Macaca mulatta: one gene and its partners. The protein of the gene in region 3 purifies or fractionates together with the protein of the main gene of each other region. This does not show direct contact. Links are inferred from orthologs where the notes say so. Each region holds a gene or a part of one and is shown on either strand. Other genes may lie near its edges.

The links. The genes of interacting proteins can lie anywhere in the genome.
Region 1: the proteins of SAAL1 (region 3) and SLC27A2 purify together in Homo sapiens (co-immunoprecipitation; 3 studies listed by BioGRID and IntAct, with this or other methods). This does not show direct contact. The link is inferred for Macaca mulatta from reciprocal best matches to the Homo sapiens genes SAAL1 and SLC27A2.
Region 2: the proteins of SAAL1 (region 3) and TMEM43 purify together in Homo sapiens (affinity purification with mass spectrometry; 3 studies listed by BioGRID and IntAct, with this or other methods). This does not show direct contact. The link is inferred for Macaca mulatta from reciprocal best matches to the Homo sapiens genes SAAL1 and TMEM43.

What each region holds. Positions count from the first base shown.
Region 1 is NC_133412.1:27,533,134-27,539,348, forward strand, and holds part of SLC27A2 (long-chain fatty acid transport protein 2), read left to right. Parts: intron 1-314; coding exon 315-473; intron 474-3,390; coding exon 3,391-3,515; intron 3,516-6,215. UniProt on the Homo sapiens protein: Mediates the import of long-chain fatty acids (LCFA) into the cell by facilitating their transport across cell membranes, playing an important role in hepatic fatty acid uptake.
Region 2 is NC_133407.1:152,940,533-152,946,747, reverse strand, and holds the end of TMEM43 (transmembrane protein 43), read right to left. Parts: intron 4,537-6,215; coding exon 4,363-4,536; coding exon of another isoform or gene 4,340-4,362; intron 2,173-4,339; coding exon 1,933-2,172; 3' UTR 30-1,932; downstream 1-29. UniProt on the Homo sapiens protein: May have an important role in maintaining nuclear envelope structure by organizing protein complexes at the inner nuclear membrane. Required for retaining emerin at the inner nuclear membrane.
Region 3 is NC_133419.1:47,373,867-47,379,584, reverse strand, and holds the end of SAAL1 (protein SAAL1), read right to left. Parts: intron 4,990-5,718; coding exon 4,793-4,989; intron 2,682-4,792; coding exon 2,589-2,681; intron 1,668-2,588; coding exon 1,575-1,667; 3' UTR 1,519-1,574; downstream 1-1,518. UniProt on the Homo sapiens protein: Plays a role in promoting the proliferation of synovial fibroblasts in response to pro-inflammatory stimuli.

The DNA of each region.
Region 1 (6,215 bases), on a different chromosome or scaffold from region 3:
CCACCTGTTTTTATAAATAAAGTTTTATTGGAACACAGCCACACTCCATTTATATGTATGTGTATGGCTGCTTTTGACCACAATAGCAGAGTTCAGTTGTTTCAACAGAGATTGTATGACCCACAAAGCCTAAAACATTTACTCTCTGGTCCTTTATAGAAAAAATTTGTCAACTTCTGGTCTAACCGGTCATGGCCCTTCCCAGTGCAATTCTCAAAATACAGGATGATTAATCTTCCTAAGCCAGATCTCTCTCCTACACTGTAAATGCCCAATCTTGGTTAACTCATACCTTCTCTTGTATATTTGCAAAGGTCTTCCAAAAGCGGCCATGATCACTCATCAGCGCATATGGTATGGAACTGGCCTCACTTTTGTAAGCGGATTGAAGGCAGATGATGTCATCTATATCACTCTGCCCTTGTACCACAGTGCTGCACTATTGATTGGCTTTCATGGATGTATTGTGGCTGGTAAGTTTTTCCTACAAAGTGTTGGAGGCGAGTGCACATTTACATTTTCTCACAAGGAACAGTAATATAAAATTTGGCTATGTTGCTGTCTGCTTGGAACAGTCTTCAATTTTGCTTTAACAATAAGGCTATTTGACTCATATTACAAGCAAGCATCTAAAATAATCTGTTTTTTCATGCCTGCTTATCTAATAATATAATGCTATAATTGTTCAGTATATCAAGAGAGAAACTCCTTTAAAATATTTTAGAGCTGGGTGCAATGGTTCACACCTGTATTCCCAGCACTTTGGGAGACCAAGGCAGGAGGATTGCTTGAGGCCAGGAGTTCAAGACCAGCCTGGGCAACAGAGCAAACCTCATCTCTACAAAAAAAAAAAAAAAAAATAGCCAGGCATGGTGGCTCAAGTCTGTAGTCCCAGCTACCCAGGAGGCTGAAGTAAGAGAATTGCTTGAGTCCAAGAGTTCAAGATTGCAGTGAGCTGTGATTGCACCACTGCACTCCAAGCTGGTTGACAGAGTGAGACCTCAACTGTGAAAAATAAAATAAAAATTAAAATAAAAAATTATCTGTATCTAGGTTATGACACTTGAATCTTAGATTCTATGTCATGTCATTTCCATCTTTAGAAACTTACATGTTGATCTCCATCAGCATCTGATTTAAACTTCTTCAGTTGTGTGCACTCTTCTGCAGCCTCCCCTGTTTCCACAGCTTTTCAGCTCTACTAGAAGGAGAGAAGATGGCAACTCCATCAGAATACTTGGCTTGGCTTGCCATCTCTTCTCTTTCCTTCTCAGACTTTACTATTCAAATTGGAGTTGCCATCCTCTCTCCTTCCAGGAGGATTTATGTCACTTGTATACATTACTGCAAAGTTCAATAGCCACCTCTTCCAGGAAGCTATCTGTAACTTTCTGACTGAACTAAAAAGCAACCTTTTCTCCCATGTGGCATTTCATTTTAAATAATCATATATGTATATATAAAAATATATACACATATGTATATACACACACATATATGTGTGTGTATATGCATGCATGTCATGGATGGATATTTGTGTCCCCCAAAAGTGTATGTGTTGAAATCCTAACCCCCAATGTGATGGTATTAGCTGGTAGGGTCTTTGGGAGGTAATTGGGTCATGAGAGAAGCACCTTCATGAAAGGTAGTGCCCTTATCAGAAGAGACAGGAGAGAGCTTCTTTCCTGACTCCGTTCTCCTCCATGTAAGGACACAGGGAGATGATGACCGTCCCCAAACCAGGAAAAATGCCCTCACCAGACACCCGATCTGCCAACACCTTGATAGGGACTTCCCAGCCTCCAGAACTGCAAGAGATATATGTTGTTTAAGCCACCCAGTCTGTACTATATTGTTATAGCAGCTCAAACACACACACACACACACACACACACACACACACACTCCAAAAATTTGAAATCCAAAATGCTCCAAAATCTGAAACTTTTTGAGCACCAGGACACCACAAGTGGAAAATACTACAGATAAGTACTTAACACAAACTTTATTTTATGCACAAAATTATTTAAAATATTGCATGAACGAGCCAGGCACAGTGGCTCCTGCCCGTAATCCCAGCACTTTGGGAGGTTGAGGCAGGCGAATCACTTGAGGTCAGGAGTTTGAGACCAGCCTGGTCAACATGGCAAAACCCCATCACTTCTTAAAAAATACAAAAATTAGCCAGGCATGATGGTGCCCGCCTATAATCCCAGCTACTTAGAGACTGAGGCACAAGAACCCACAAGGCGGAGGTTGCAGTGAGCCAAGATTGCACCACTGCACTCCAGCCGGGGCAACAGAGCGAGACTCGGGCCAGGTGCAGTGGCTCACGCCTGTAATCCCAGCACTTTGGGAGGCCGAGGGGGACAGATCACAAGGTCAGGAGATTGAGACCATCTGGCTAACACAGGGAAACCCCATCTCTACTAAAAATACAAAAAATTTGCCAGGCGTGGTGGCACACAGCTGTAATCTCACCTACTCAGGAGGCTGAGGCAAGAGAATCACTTGAACCCAGGAGGCGGATGTTGCAGTGAGTCAAGATGGCACCACTGCACTCCAGCCTGGGTGACAGAGCGAGACTCAGTCTCAAAAAAAGAAAAAAAAAAATAGAACGAGACTCTGTCTCAAATACACACACACACACACACACACACACACACGTATGTGTGTGTATATGTGTATTTTTGAGACAGTCTCACTCTCTATATATATTTATATAGCATGAAATATTTATATTTATTTATATATATATATATATATGTTTTGCATGAAATCTCTCCCCTCTCCCCTCCCTCCCTCTTAGGACCTCATTTGAATCTCTTACTGCAAGCTGACTTTTATTAAAATGACCTTTGTATAAGTCTTCTCCTCCATAGATTGGAAGCCCCTATCAAACAAAACCATGTCTTACTAATTTTTTGCATTGAATATAAGGTACTCAATACTTGTTTGCAAATATAATTTACTTTTAAATTTCTGTCTTTCAAAGTTCACAAATTAAATATAATTGGGAGAATTTTTTCTACCATTTCTTTCTTCACACTTTCGTTTTGTTTGTTTGTTTTTTTTTGAGACGGAGTCTTGCTCTGTGCCCCAGGCTGGAGTGCGGTGGCACAATCTCGGCTCACTGCAAGCTCCGCCCCCCGGGTTCACACCATTCTCCTGCCTCAGCCTCCCGAGTAGCTGGGATTACAGGCGCCCGCCACCATGCTTGGCTAATTTTTTTGTATTTTTAGAAGAGAGGGGTTTCACCGTGTTAGCCAGGATGGTCTCGATCTCCTGACCTTGTGATCCGCCCGCCTCGGCCTCCCAAAGTGCTGGGATTACAGGCTTGAGCCACCACGCCCGGCCTCTTTCTTGACACTTTCTATGCTTTCTCTGTAGGTGCTACTCTTGCCTTGCGGACTAAATTTTCAGCCAGCCAGTTTTGGGATGACTGCAGAAAATACAACGTCACTGTCATTCAGTATATCGGTGAACTGCTTCGGTATTTATGCAACACACCACAGGTAACACTACCCTGGTTGTACTATCATTTTGAAATGGGTAAGATGGAAATTCAAGTCACTTTGGGTTGTGCTAGGCTTTAGCTGATTTGCATATATCAGTTTTGAGTTTAGTATACAATTATCAGGATAAAGTACTTGGCACTATACCTACCATATAGAGGGGACTTATTAGGTGGGAGTTCATATTATCATGATGATGATTATTATTTCCTGACTTTTTACTTGTTTTCACATCTTACCCCCCACCTAGCATATCATGCATTTCCCTCTCTGCTTACTAAAAGCCATTGTCAAAGCCCAGTTCAAATGATACCTCATACATTAAACCTATTTGGGTCACTCCAACAAAAGTCATTACTCTTCTCCCCTACGTCATTTTATTTCTACCCTCTGTGGCCCTTGTCACATTGCAGGAGTTTGCGTTCATGCCTCCCATCCTTCCTTGGCTATAATATCTTTGATAGCTGGAACCACATCTTGTCTCCTTGTTTTCTGTTATACCAAAACCATACAGGAAACTTTTACTTAATATTGTTTAATAAATAAATCCCTGCGTGACTTTGAAACCAACCAGCCAAGTCTGTCACCAAGCTGGGAACAGAGGCCCCAGGGCATCTCCAACGGCCTTGGATCTGCCTGGTTTGCAGATGTTCAGCTCTCGATGGGGTTGTTCTCAAGAGCTCCTCCTGCCCAGTCCCTCAACTCTCATCACAGATCTGGTATCAGATAGGATTTATCAACAGTGGCACTGCTGACACTTTGGGCTTTTAATTCTTTGCTGCATGGACTTATTCCGTGCATTGTAGAGTGTTTAGCACCCTTTGAACTTTGCCCACGAGATGCCAGTAGTAACCTCCCCACCTGCCCAGGTTGTGATCATCAAAATGTCTCCAGATACTGCCAAATATCCCTTGGCAGGCAAATGCTACCCTAGTTGAGAACCACTGGGCAAGACAATGCAGTAAACTTGCCAGATTCTAATCCGTTTCACCAGATTCTAGTTCCTTTAATCTACTCAGTCAACTTAACCTCAAAGGATCACTAAGTTGATAAATTGCTATTGATAAACACCTGTCGTGCTCACCTTACATACCAGCCGCTATGTGACGCAGAAAGAAGTGTCGGATGCTCTTCCCCCAGGTCTCTCTCACCTCGCTTTACTCAGTATCTGCCCAGATGTTACCTCATTAGGAGAGAGGCCTCTCCTGCTAATAATCAAACATATCACCTGCCCCTCACTGTCCAGCTTGTCACTGCATTTCATGGCACCTGTCACTCCTGACATACTAAAGGTTTATGCGATTATTGTCTGGCCCCCCCGCCCAATTAAATGAAAGTTGCATATGAGCAGGGGCTCTGTCCACTACCAGATCCACAGCACCGAGATCTGTAAATGACACATCATAGGCATCAACAGATTTTGCGGACCGAACCTCTTAAATCCTTGACCCTGAAAAACATATAGTTGAGTTGAGGGAGCTAAAATGTTTCCCCCAAAATGTTTGGGCTTAGCACATATTATTCTGATTTTTTGGCATATTCAATAGATTCTTGAGGATCATCATTAGCAGTGAGTTGGGTTAGGGCGTTTTCCGCAGCAGTTTCTGTTAATGTCATTATTGAATTTTTTTCTCATTAATATTCCACGTGGCCCTCAAGATAGCATGTCTCTCCATTAACATCCAGAAATCCATATGGGGCCCTTCTGCTGGGCTTTTCTTCTCTACCTTAAAGACACTCCCTTGTCAGTTAGAAATCTCCTGGGGAGTGTGTGTTGTTTCTATACATTCTAACGGGAGCTTCCTTTCAACTGGAGGAAAATAAGTATGTTTGTGTGTAGCTGTCTTAAGGCTTACACATATCCACATACACACATGCACACATACACACACACATGCATGCACTCTCCCAGTTTTTCTCTTACTGTTGTCTCGAATACTGGAAAACAAAGACAATTTGATTGGGGTTTTATGACTTCAAAATATACTATGATTTAATGCATAATCTTGAATGACCCCTGGACTTCCTATTTGCCAGTGCTTCCCCACCCCTGAGTTCTGTTTGTCTGGAAAATACTTATAGAAAGTATAATAAAAGATCAAAGTTATCTCAACAAAAAAAAAAAAAAAAAAACTTCAGTTAAAGATTTTTTTTTGATCACAGGTCATCAGTCCAGGCACGATGGCTCACGCCTCTAATCCCAACACTTTGGGAGGCCGAGGCGGGCAGATCATTCAAGGTCAGGAGTTAAAGACCAGCCTGGCCAACATGGAGAAACCCAGTCTCTACTAAAAATACAAAAATTAGCGGGGTTTGTTGGCACGCGCCTGTAATCCCAACTGCTCGGGAGGCTGAAGCAAGAGAGTCGCTTGAAGCGGGAGGCAGATGTTGCCGTGAGCCAAGATTGTGCCACTGCACTCCAGCCTGGGTGACAGAACAAGACCCTATCTCAAAAAAAAAAAAAAAAAAAAAAGGAAAAGAAAACAGAAAGGAAACAATCATAGGTCATTAGACAAGCAGGAGATCTATGCAAAATTTTTTTAAAAAATTTAATCATGGGTCATCATAGGAAGTAGGAAGTCCAGATTCTGTGGGGTATGGGAAAGATTATATCAAAAAGACTTTGCAAAAAATAAAAATAAAAAAGAATGGGATAAAAACTAGAATGAATGGGGGAAGGACCTAGATCAATGTAATCGG
Region 2 (6,215 bases), on a different chromosome or scaffold from region 3:
AGGATGTTTGTCAAAGTCCCACACCAGAAGATATTTAGAAATTTATTTCAAAATTTTTAACCAAAAATACAATGATATTACAAATTTGGTTTTCCAAAGCTTTCAAATTTTTCTTAACATTATTTTTCTCTTTAAGAACACTTTTGAAGTTGGCAGTAATTTAAAATCCTTATTAGAAAAAAATTAAACCAAAGCCCAAGGATTTTGCATTTAGTCATCATCTAGGTATACTGCGTGTTTTCCAAAAGCATCCTTTAAGAGTTTGGAGATTGGATGAAATTGTTCACGTAATATTGCTCACGTAATAAGCAGTTAGTGAATACTACTGTATCCTAAACCCAGATAAGTCATCTTGGGCTGGCTGTGTTTTTCATGTGAAGAAACTCATTTATAGCACAGGCACCCGAGGCCAGTAGAGATGGTTACAGATCACTGGTTTCAGAAGTTCTGACCCCCTTATTCAGCTACCAAATACTTAGTTGCTAAAGGAATTACTTCCAGCAGGCACAAAACGGTTTCTGAATATGACAGAAAGGGTATACAAAGAATCATTTAAGGCATCTTGGTTACAACATACTTTTAATGGTGCGAGAGTAGTTGGGGAACTCAGAAATTCTGTGACTTAGGTGTGGGTGGATCTTATTTAGGAGGACTAAAGCTATGGACACAACACATGAAAGGACTACTCAGAAGCAGCCATAGGAGGCCCAGGTGCCCATGTCGAAAGTACTCCCGGGTGAAAGCAGCCAGGCAGGCATGGGCACTGTACAGCAAGCCTCAGGCCTCAGTTCTTGATTGTGGTTGACTGGGGGTCACCATGAAGGTGCCCATTTAGTATAAAGCTTCCAACCTTTTCTCTTAATCTTTTCTTTAATCTTTTAAACCATCTTCAAGTGCACAGGGGAGTTCCTGATGCCAGAGGATGAAAGCAGCTGCTTTCTCCACCCTCTCCTCCCAGAGTGAAAACAAATCCTTTCGCTAATACTTGTTTCAAAAGCATCCGTTGTAAAGCTTCTCAGTGACACAGAATACTGAAAGGTAATTTTTTATCAGTCAAACCACATACCCAATTTAACACCTTTCGGTGCTCTGAATTCAACTGACAGACTGAAGGGTGTTTCCTGGAACAGTCTGAAATATTAATCATTCAAGTGTTTTTTTTGTTGTTTTAAAATCTTATTTCAGAAAACTTCCTCTTAGGGTAGGAAAGTACATACAAAGCAGCAAAGTAATGAAGAAAACCTCAAATAGGACCTTCAGATATCCCACACACTACAAAGATTCTACCAAGCCATAAGATAAGTGTGAAGCCCAACGTACGTCCAGCTTTTCTCCTCACGACATCTTCAGTGTTTCTTCTCTTTTAAACACCAAACCAGGTTCCAGCCACAGACTATGTTTTGGGTGTACCTGCTTTGTGGGGTCCATGCCCAGTGTGTCTGCTGGTGACCCAGGACTCAGCAGTAATGACTAACGGCCGCCCTTCAGGATCACAGAAGTGCTTGGTGGTGGCGGCAAAGCCTGGCACTTGTGTGCAGTGATGAGAAGCAGCACACGGCAAGGCTGAGCCCTTTATCAGCAGGCCTCCTTAGAGCGTGTCTGCGTCGTCAGCTGCCAGTGGGCTGAGTGGCTGGCCATACGCACTCAGTCCAAGAGAGAGGAAGGAAACAGCAGGAGAAGCTGTCAGGTGGCCATTCATGAGCTGCTGCTGCCCACCAAAGCTGCTTACTGGCAAGAAGAGGTGTGGGGAAGACATGAGCTGGTGAACACCAACCCAGCGCACATGCTGCCAAGTCTGGCCCCTGAAGAGGAGAGAGGGTGCAGAGTCCAAAACCAACCGGAGCTCCTGCTCTGGCATGGAGCTGGGTCAGAGGTGAGGGACGACCTGGATCCTAGGGCTCACGCAGGTGTCGGGCGGGTGCCAGGGTCTTTTCACTCCAACTTTTTGGCCGACACCCGTGTCCGAGCAACAATGATGGGCACCAGCGCCAGGCCGGCAATGAGGAGGGCCCATAGGGGCCGGTAGAAGAGCCAGCCAGCCGCCACGGTCAACAGGGTCAGCGAGGTGGCCATGCAGAAGGCAAAGGCTTTCAGGCCAATGTTGACCAAGTCTCGAAAGACAGGAAACCAGTCCACTGTGGAAAGGAGAAAGGTGATGAGGTGCCACCCACTCTACACCTCACCAGCTCAGCAGATCGCTCCTGTCCCTAGGTGAGGATGGGCCCCTGTTGCTACGTGCGTGAGGAGGGGAGCGGGTCAGTGGGGTGGAAGGCAAGGAGCCTCGTTCTGAGAGCTAAGGGAGCACAGGAGTCTCTGCTATGAGCTGCGTGGCTGGGCACATTGAGCCACCCACTCTACCCTGCTCCGGGGAGAGGATGTGGCAGTGCTTTGTAAACTTTAATACTATATGTGGAGAGCAGTCTGAGGCCAGCATAAAGACATTTGCCTGTAATGCTGGAAATACCCTGGGTCCTGCACACTCATACAAGAGGCTGTGGATGGAGCCTCCTGTGCCTATTTGGGCCTCTCAGCCATTCCTAGAGGTGTTGGTTCATTCATGCAGCAGGATGTTACTGATTATTTATGTGCCCAGCACTGAACCGGCAGGTACTAGAGGAAATAAATTAGCCTAAGCATTGGCCTCTCCTCAAGGATCTCACAAACTATTGGTCCAATAGGAGAAAGCCCAGAATCCAGCTAAATTCGTAATTACCCTATTCTTGCCTTGTATGACCTCTCCAGGTTGGCATTCCATAGCTGATGTCCACTCAGGGAATCTTTGCTCAGTTCCCGGGCCACCAGTGGTCTGGAATCACTGGGTTTGCAGAGCAAGCCCTGGTGCCCACCATACCTGCAGCACACCCTGCAAGCCACCACCTGGCCTCATCCTGGTCTGTTCCCATACAGCACTGCTACTCAGCCCTTATAATAAGCAAAGTTCATGTTTCTGAATGTTGCCTATGTGTTAGACACCACGCGCACCATCTCATGAAGCGCTCATGCCCACCCCGTAAGGTAGGTACTCTTCTTAACTCCATTTTGCCCACGGGGTCACTGAGGCTCAGGGAATTAAGAAACTCACCCCAAGTCCTCCTGTTAGAAAGTGCCAGAACCAGGATTTGAACTCAAGACTGTCTGGGCCCAGAGCCTGGGCTCTGAGCCGCTGCTCTAATCCTTGTCTGTCTCTCTTGCTGTGGAGTCTTACACGTGGCGGTCAGTATTTATCAAACGCATGGGGGAGTGTGCGCTTCCCTGCTGCACTAGCGACTCACCCCACCCACCCTGGGGGTCCCTCCATGCTCTAAGTCTGTCCTGAGTCTGGCTCATTCCAGACATAGGGTGAATTGGGATCACAGACGTCAGAGATCCAAAGAAGGGCCCACTGAGACAGACACGAGGAAACCAAGGCTCCAGAAGGGAACTGGTCTGCCCAAGGTCACATAGGCAAGAAAGAGGATTCCGCTTAAATGCTGATGTCTCCCTAATGTGCCCACCATGTCACTAGTCTTTCTGAGCACAATTCAGCTGTCCAAAGAAAGGCTCAAGGAAAGAGTCCTTCCCTTCCCGAGCCTGTTTTCCCAACTATAAACAAAGGAGGTGGTCCCCCCGGCTCAGACAGCCCGAGATGTGCAGCCAGACCTCTTCTGACTTGTACATCCTGAGTGGGGAAGAGGTTTCTGTTGGCACCCAGAAAAGGCGTGACCCAAACATGTGACTGGAAGGGATACACACCAGGGAAAGGCTTGGATGGAGAGTCCTCTGAGGAACCCCATCCTCCTGGGCCCAGAACGTACTTAGTCACCCTGGGCACTCAGATCCCGAACCACACTGGGCCACAGGACTCCTACTGAGCTCGCTGGTGCCAACCTCAGGCCAAGGAGCGGCCCAGAACTCTCCTTCATGCTCCGGACTTGCTGGCTGCCCAAATCTAGCCCAGGTTTTAGAGTGAGGAAGGAAGCATGATAGTTTTGGGTGTTTCCTATTTGCCACATTCATAAAACTCTGCATGTGAGGGGTGAGGTGACTGAAGCTGAGGTGGGAAGGGAATGGCCAAGCACCCAGAGCTTGGACGTGACAGATTTCAAATGCAGGTCTGACAGGCTCCCATGTGGTATCAATTGTGGATCAAAGGAATGAGCAAATGAGCGAGCCAGGGGATGGACGAACCTTCAGGCTGTGGAGTGAGACCAGTGCCCCAGAGTCAGCCCCACCCAGCCTCACCCCTGGCAGCTCCTGCCCTCAGCCTGCCTTCCTCTGCTCCCTCATCCCAAGGCTATGGAGCGGAGATACAGAGATGAGCCAAATGCTTGGTCTCTGTGCAGGGGCCATCCCATCAGGCCGGAAGGGCTGAGATGATGCGACAGGCAGAGGCCAGTGGGGGTGCAGGAGGGAGGGCAGTGACCCACCCTGACACCTACCCAGGGTGTAGAGGATGCGTGTCATAAGGTTGAGGCCCATGAACATGGCCATCCAGCCAGCTGCCCGCAGGCCCCAGGTCTTCATGGAGTTGCTCCTTAGTTCTCTATGAAACACCTCCTGCAGGACAAGGTGGGGCAGGTCAGGATGCTGAGGGCCAGCGGTGTACCCAGTCGGCAGGGCAGGTGCTGAGGGGGCTGGACCAACTCGGGAGCTGTTGGCCATTTCCGAACAGGCCAGAGGGAGGTGGGGCAAGCCTCCTATAGGGGTAAGTCATTCTGCCCATCTGGCAGAGCACAGGGCAAGGCATGAGATCTCTGGAAGGTACTGGCCCTCCTCAGCTCAGAGGCTGCCAGCACCTGGAGCCCTCAGCCCACAGTCTCACCTGGAATGAGCAGGACCCTCCCCACCACCCCTGAGCAGGTCTGAGTGTGCCTGCTGGGCAGCATGCTCCGTGCTATGTGTGTGATCTGTTTAATCGTGGACCCTCTGCAGATGGCCTGGGACACCGCACCCGCCTTCTCAGGCTCCATCGCTGTCGCTGTCCCTCTTCCTGTCTGTTAAGACGCTGCAGTTCTTTAGCTGCTTCAGTCCATACTTTCCCCCCGAACATCCCATCTGCTTCCTTGGCCTCCATACGCTGTGACCCTCCAATTTAAAGCTGGAGCTCTGGCCCTCTCCTGGGCCTCACAAACCTGTGGCTCCCACCACCTCCTCGACATTTCCACTTGACATCTCGGCCTGTCCAGCACTGACACTGGTGCCTTCTCCATCTCAGCACATGGCACACCCACCCACCCACTCACATCTAGGGGAAAAGACATGGCCTGCTCCTCCCCCATCACCTCATCCAGTCCAGGTCACATATTCCCGAGTCTCTCGCCACCATCTGCCTGCAGGAGCCTTACTGGCCCTGCTTCTATCACCCCACTCCGTGTTCTCCACACAGCCACCTGCCAGAGCCCTGCCACATCCCCCCAACACCAACCCTGCTGCTGGTGCCCTGACCCCGCTGGCTGCTGTTCCCAGTTCAGGTCGAGCGTCCTCTCCCCTCTGTGTATCTGTGCATGGGTTTGCTCTGCCTACAGCGATTGCCTGCAGTCATGCCTGGCCAGCTTCCTACATAGTCTTCCAGCTTTGCTCGAACCCCATTTCTTCAGAGGGCTTTCCTTGACCCTCTAATCTGAATCGGGCCCTCTCTCAGAGTCCGTAACAAAAACAGGTCACACTGATCCTTATCTGATACTGTCCTAAGTGTTTTACAAGTATTATTTAATTCTCAGATTCACTCAGTGAGGTAGGAATACTTACCTCCAATTTATAGACGAGAAAACTGAGGCTCTGAGAGGGCACATAAGTCATGTGCCCAAGGTCTCACCTCAAGCAGTTAACTAAACGCTACATTTCCAAGAGCAGGGAGCATGTCTGTGAAGTACCTGGTGTTCAATGAAAACTTTCTGAATGAATGAATAATCCTCAACAACCAAACCAGTTAGGGATGATGTGACTATTACTAATAGTACTTAAACATTTTCCCCTTCACGAATGAGGAAACAGGCTGAGAGATCAGCACCAGCTCAAGGTCCTGTAGCAGGTGGGAGGCAGCGCCAGGGCCATCTGCAGTGTGCCTGCTGGGGCAGCTGTACTCTCCTGCCCCTGGGACTGGAATTGGGGCATCCTGATTTTTGCCCTGAGCTGTCTGCCTGGCTCTGGGCCTTTTCTTCCACTTGACAGAGACCCCAGACCTTGTGTGGGGGTGGGGTCCGGGCTGGGGGAAGACAGGGCTTTGGGATGCTAAG
Region 3 (5,718 bases):
CACGCCACTGCACTCCAGCCTGGGCGACAGAGTGAGACTCCGTCTCAACAACAACAACAAAAAATTAAAACAAACGAACAAACAAAACATGCTCTCAGGAAAAAAATGTGAAATTCATATGCACTGAGGTAAACATAACTAATAACCTCAAGTATTACTCTTAATCGGTATTTGCATCTTAAGCTTAAACTTAAAAAAAAAAAACCGAGTGGAATTTTCATGTCAGCTAGCAGGTAGGAGTGATTTCATCAGTGTCTTTCAAATCTCATGTTGAACATAGTCAATTCAGCCTACCAATAAGGTCAGCACCGAGGACATGCAAATATGCATATACAGTGTAGTATACATAAACCTACCAATGAGGTTTCACCTGCTAAGATTTACTTTTATGTTCCAGTTCTTTTCAGCAGTGACACTTCCAACCCTAAACCTACCTCCAAACTAGAAATTGTATTATCTCTTACCAATAAGATTATTCTATGTTTTATCACCAAAAACCTCTCAAGGAAAGAAAACAAAGTATGAGGCAAGACCAATGCTTTAAAGCCAAAAAACTGATAAAAACTGGGAAGAGGCTATACCAAAAGTGAGGTTTAGAAAGCTGGCTTTGCTATTCATAACAGATATTTTCTTAAAATCTATTAAAAAGCACCTCCTCACCCAGCCAAACACACGTAAAGACTTGGTAGGAAAAAGCCCCTTCTCTCCCTTTTCCTTCCTGAATGTGGATAAGGCCCAGAGATGGCACAGCCCCCTTAACCGCAAGACAATAAACATGAACACACCTGGCAGACCATGTGAAGGGTGAAAGGAGCCACCTCATCACGTCTGGATTTTTGCATAAGGTTCCTGAGAGAGATCAGATTCAGCTACGATAGGAGGGTTTCTGTTACTGCGGCTGAATATACTTATAGTTGATACAAAGACGTAATTCTCACTTAAAAAAATCTAATTAGGCCGGGCACGGTGGCTCATGCCTGTAATCCCAGCACTTTGGGAGGCCAAGGTGGGCAGATCACAAGGTCAGGAGATAGAGACTATCCTGGCTAACATGGTGAAACTCCGTCTCTACTAAAAATACAAAAAATTAGCCGGGTGTGGTGGCGGGCACCTGTGGTCCCAGTTACTCGGGAGACTGAGGCAGGAAAATGGCGTGAACCCAGGAGGTGGAGCTTGCAGTGAGTCGAGATCACACCACTGCACTCTAGCCTGAGCAACAGAGTGAGACTCCATCTCAAAAAACAAAACAAAACAAAACAAAAACCAAATTAACAGCTAGGAAGAAAAGCGACACTGATCTCTCACATATCCTAAGAACCTCAATGATAAGCTTACATTTTTGTTTTCCTCAACTGAGAATGATAAATATCACATAATATAAAAAGAGGGGTGACAGGGGTGAAACTCCAGATTCCAAAGTCAAAAAAAGTGAGACAAGTCTAGGACAGAAAAACATAACACCAGACAATTACGGTCTAATAGGGCTTTAGCTAATATTTCCAATAAGTCAATTTCAACTGTCAGTGAGAAAAATAAAGTTTATTTCTTATGCAGAAGTAATTCCAATTCAGGTTTTAAGTCTGAACCTTCAAACTTGGGAAGCTTTTTTCCAAGTCATCAGCAAGCACCTTATCAACTTCACGTAGGATTTTAATAAAATCTTCCACCTATGAGTCAAACAAACAAAATCAAACACAGAAGAGAAAAACGTGGTTTAAGGTACTGATTGCTCTACCTGTGGTTTCTAAATGGTCCAATGGAAAAGAAATGCTGGCAGATCTCCAGATGACAGTAACAGTACTTCCTAAGCAGTCTTCTAAATCATTCTCAAGGAAATGACTATTCTTTCCCATTCCGTTTTACCCTTAAGCTAGTACTTCTCCCCCTGCCTCCTCTTTACAGTCTGTTCCCACATTCTGTCCTTCATTTTCCCGAAAAAGTTCTTATTGTGAAATCTGATTCTAATGGTAGGAAATGTGATGTCATTTGAAGAACCATAAAAACCTACTGCCTATTCCCAAGAATCTGATTTTGGTTTAATACAGATGCTACCTACTTCATAACAGAAAGGAGTACTATAGATTCAGAGCTGAATTTTTCCTCTTAGAATTGTTACTCCCAATAGTAGTACAAATTTTCCAGTAGTCATCCTTTTTTCCCCCAACCTTTATTGTAGACTCAGGGGGATCTAAATGTTTCTATGTGCAGGTTTGGTACAAAGGTATATCACATGATGCTGAAGTTTGAGGCACAGATGAACCTGTCACCCAGGCAGTGAGCTTAGTACCCAATAGGTAGTTTTTCAGCCCTTGCCCTCCCTCTCTTTTTCCCCCTCCTCCTGTAGTCCCCAGTGTCTACTTTTCCCATTTTTATGTCCATGGTATCCAATGGTTTTAGCTCCCACTTCTAAGTGAGAACATATGGTATTTGGTTTTCTGTTTCCAGCAGTCATCTATCTGACAAAGGCATTAAGTCATATAAATTGTATATACTATAATTTTTGACAATGACTTCGAAATCAAGTGCTTACTTGAAAACATTTAGTAATCCTACAAAACTTGGCCGCCTATACATTTACCCATACTCACCACAGGGCTATAGAAAGGAAGAAGGTTTTGAAATGCAGAGGAACACTTCTGTTTGCTCAATTGGCCTTCCTTTACTCCCTGAGCCACCGTCTCCTAAAACAACAACATTTAATGTCAAAAAAGGGAAATTTTTTCAAGCTTTAACTAGTGAATAAAAACAAATTAGGATATTCAATTCCCTCCTGACTTCATAGGCATTTCAAATGTCCCAACTGAACCCACCGACATCAAGGAGGCTTATGTAACCCAAACGTGTTCTCCACTGTCGTCTTTATTTTAGTGAAGGACACCACCATCCACCCTGCTACACAAACTACAAACTTGGAACACAGTGAAGACTTTTCCCTCCCCTCTCCTGCTGACCCCTCCCGGCAAGTGCTCAATTCTATTCTACCAAATCTCTCTTATCCCATCCCTCCTCTCCATTCAAACTTCCATTGTTTAGGCTGCCATCCTTTTTCAGATTATTCTTGAAGATTACCAACCGCAAGAGCCTGTTAGTTGATCTCCTGCCCTCCAGCCTCAACTCTCTCTACTCCTTCCTCTCTATTGCTTTTGGAGTAATCTTTCTAAATTGATCTTATCACTTGGTGCTTAAAAGAAAAAAAATCTTTAGTAGCTCCTCAGTTTCTTCAAGATTAAGTCCAAATCCCCTAAACATGGCATATAAAAATTTGCATGACATAGCCCTAGTGTATCCTCAGCTCACCTTTCTTTGATGTTCCTACTACTTAAAAGTAGGTGCTCCAAAAAACAAAAGCAACAGCAAAGAATGGGAAAAAATACATGTGATAAATATGGAAAAGATGCATTATTACCCAAGAAATTCATACAAATGGATAAATTATAAAAAAGGATAAATTTTAATTGGATAATTAAAAATTATTATCCAATTAATTATCCAATTAATAATTATTTAATTATCCAATAATTAAAAATTATCCAATTAAATCAAATGGATAAATTATAAATGGATAAATTTATAATCAAAATGGATAAATTATAAAAAAGTAGGAAACAAAATATACGACATCCAAATATTTCAATCTCATTAATTTAAAAATGCAAATCAAAATAAGACATAATTTATTACCTGAACTTTGACATAAAAATTATAATACCCAATAATAAGGGTCAAGGAAAAACCAACATTTCACATGTAAATAGTATTTTGACAAAATATGGCCATTATGCCTTAGCCATCTTCACATTTATAATGTTGAATCCAGTAATTTAAATTCTGTAAAACCTGCTGAGGTAATAACCCCAAATCTGGAAAATACAAATAGGGAAAAGGGAAGCAAGACAACTAATAAAAAAAAAATCACCAGAATAAGAGAAACCTTTTGTTTCATTTTGTTTTTTGAGATAGGGTCTCACTTTGTCACTCAGGTTGGAGTGCAATCCTTCCATCCCTGCCTCCCAAGTAGCTGGGATCACAGGCATGTGCCACCATACCCGGCTAATTTTTGTATTTTTTGTAGAGATGAGGTTTTGCCATGTTGCCCAAACTGGTCTCAAACTCCTGGGCTCAAGTGATCCACCTGCCTCAGCCTCCCAAGTGCTGGGATTATGGGCGCCTGGCCAAGAGAAACTTCTTAAGGAATACTCTTTAAAAAATTCAGTGGGTATGAATAAATATATTCTTCACACCTATATTTGTAGCATTTTATATTCATGATACAACATATTCATAACATATTCATAATATATTTCTTTCCAAATATATGGATAGAAAAAAATATGGTCAAAGGAGGAATGTTAATAACCACTGAACATATTCAGGGAGAATATTCCTTAAGAGAAGTTTGCAGTAAATTTTGAAAACTGATTATTTGGTAAATTAGGTTTAAACTGGCTCTCAGTAAAAAGTCTTTCATCTAGAATCAAGAAAAATGCTTATAATATAGTGTTAAGGGAAAACAGTAGTCTATAAAAATTGCATATGCTGGGTTAAAGTATAGGAAAAATGCATTTATAAAAATACATGCATGCAAACATATGCATATGTTTGTCATACATAAATATACCAAACCACATCAGCTAGCGGTTTTTAAGATTATAAACTCATGGTGATATTAAGATTTTACTTTATTTTCCCAAAATATATATTACTTTCATATTAAAAAAACAGTAATAAAGTTGGAGAGTTAAGCAACCCACACTTTCTTTTGTTCATGACATCATCAATACTTCTTTCCTACCTTTGTTAATGCCTGAAAAATATTAGAAAGAAATTCACATAAAATATCCTTTAAGATTTTCAAGTGGAAATCATCTTGGGTTAAATCAGTCTTTTTAGTTTCTCCTGTGTTAGACTCTGCCGAGTTCTCTGGTTTTTTCTGACACTGTTCCATATTTTGTAAGACCCGAATGAGGCTGTCAATTAGAGGAAGATCTACTGTATAAAAAATCAAGAAACATTGAATTGGCCAGTTAAGTTTGGTTTTTCATTCATATGTATTGAATTAGTGCTAGACATTATTATTTTGGGTACTACAGATACAGTGGTAACATCAGCAAGATGTCAGCCTGTAAGAGGCTTACATTTTTATACTTTCAAATAAGTAAATATAATAGACTATTTTAGGTTTTGGTTAGGTTCTATGAAGGAAATAAAAGAGGAATATAGCAGTCTAGCAGGGCAAGCTCTCTGACAAGGTGACATTGAGTTGAGAACTAAAGCAATGAAGACTCAGCAATCAAATGAGCCTAGGAGGCCAGGGGTGGTAGCTCATGCTTGCAATCTCAGCACTTTGAGAGGCCAAGATGGGCGGGTAGCTTGAGCCCAGGAGTTCGAGACCAGCCTGAGCAACATGGCGAAACCGTGTCTTTACAAAAAGTATACAAAAATTAGCTCACGAGAGTTTTCTACCACTACCACTGTTAACATCTTGGTCCAAATTATAACATTTCTTGCTATGAGTTAATTATCAAGAATCTCTAAAAGCCTCCTAACTCATCTCCCTTTTGTACCAGATTCCTACATTTCTCATCAAAACAGCAGCCTATTAAAGTCAGCTCATGTGTATTCAACTTCTGCTTAAAACTCACCATGATTCCCTACCTCATTTAGAGGAAAAGGCAAAATTAGGCCCTCCATACTCTACCTCTTTGGCTCCATGTGCTA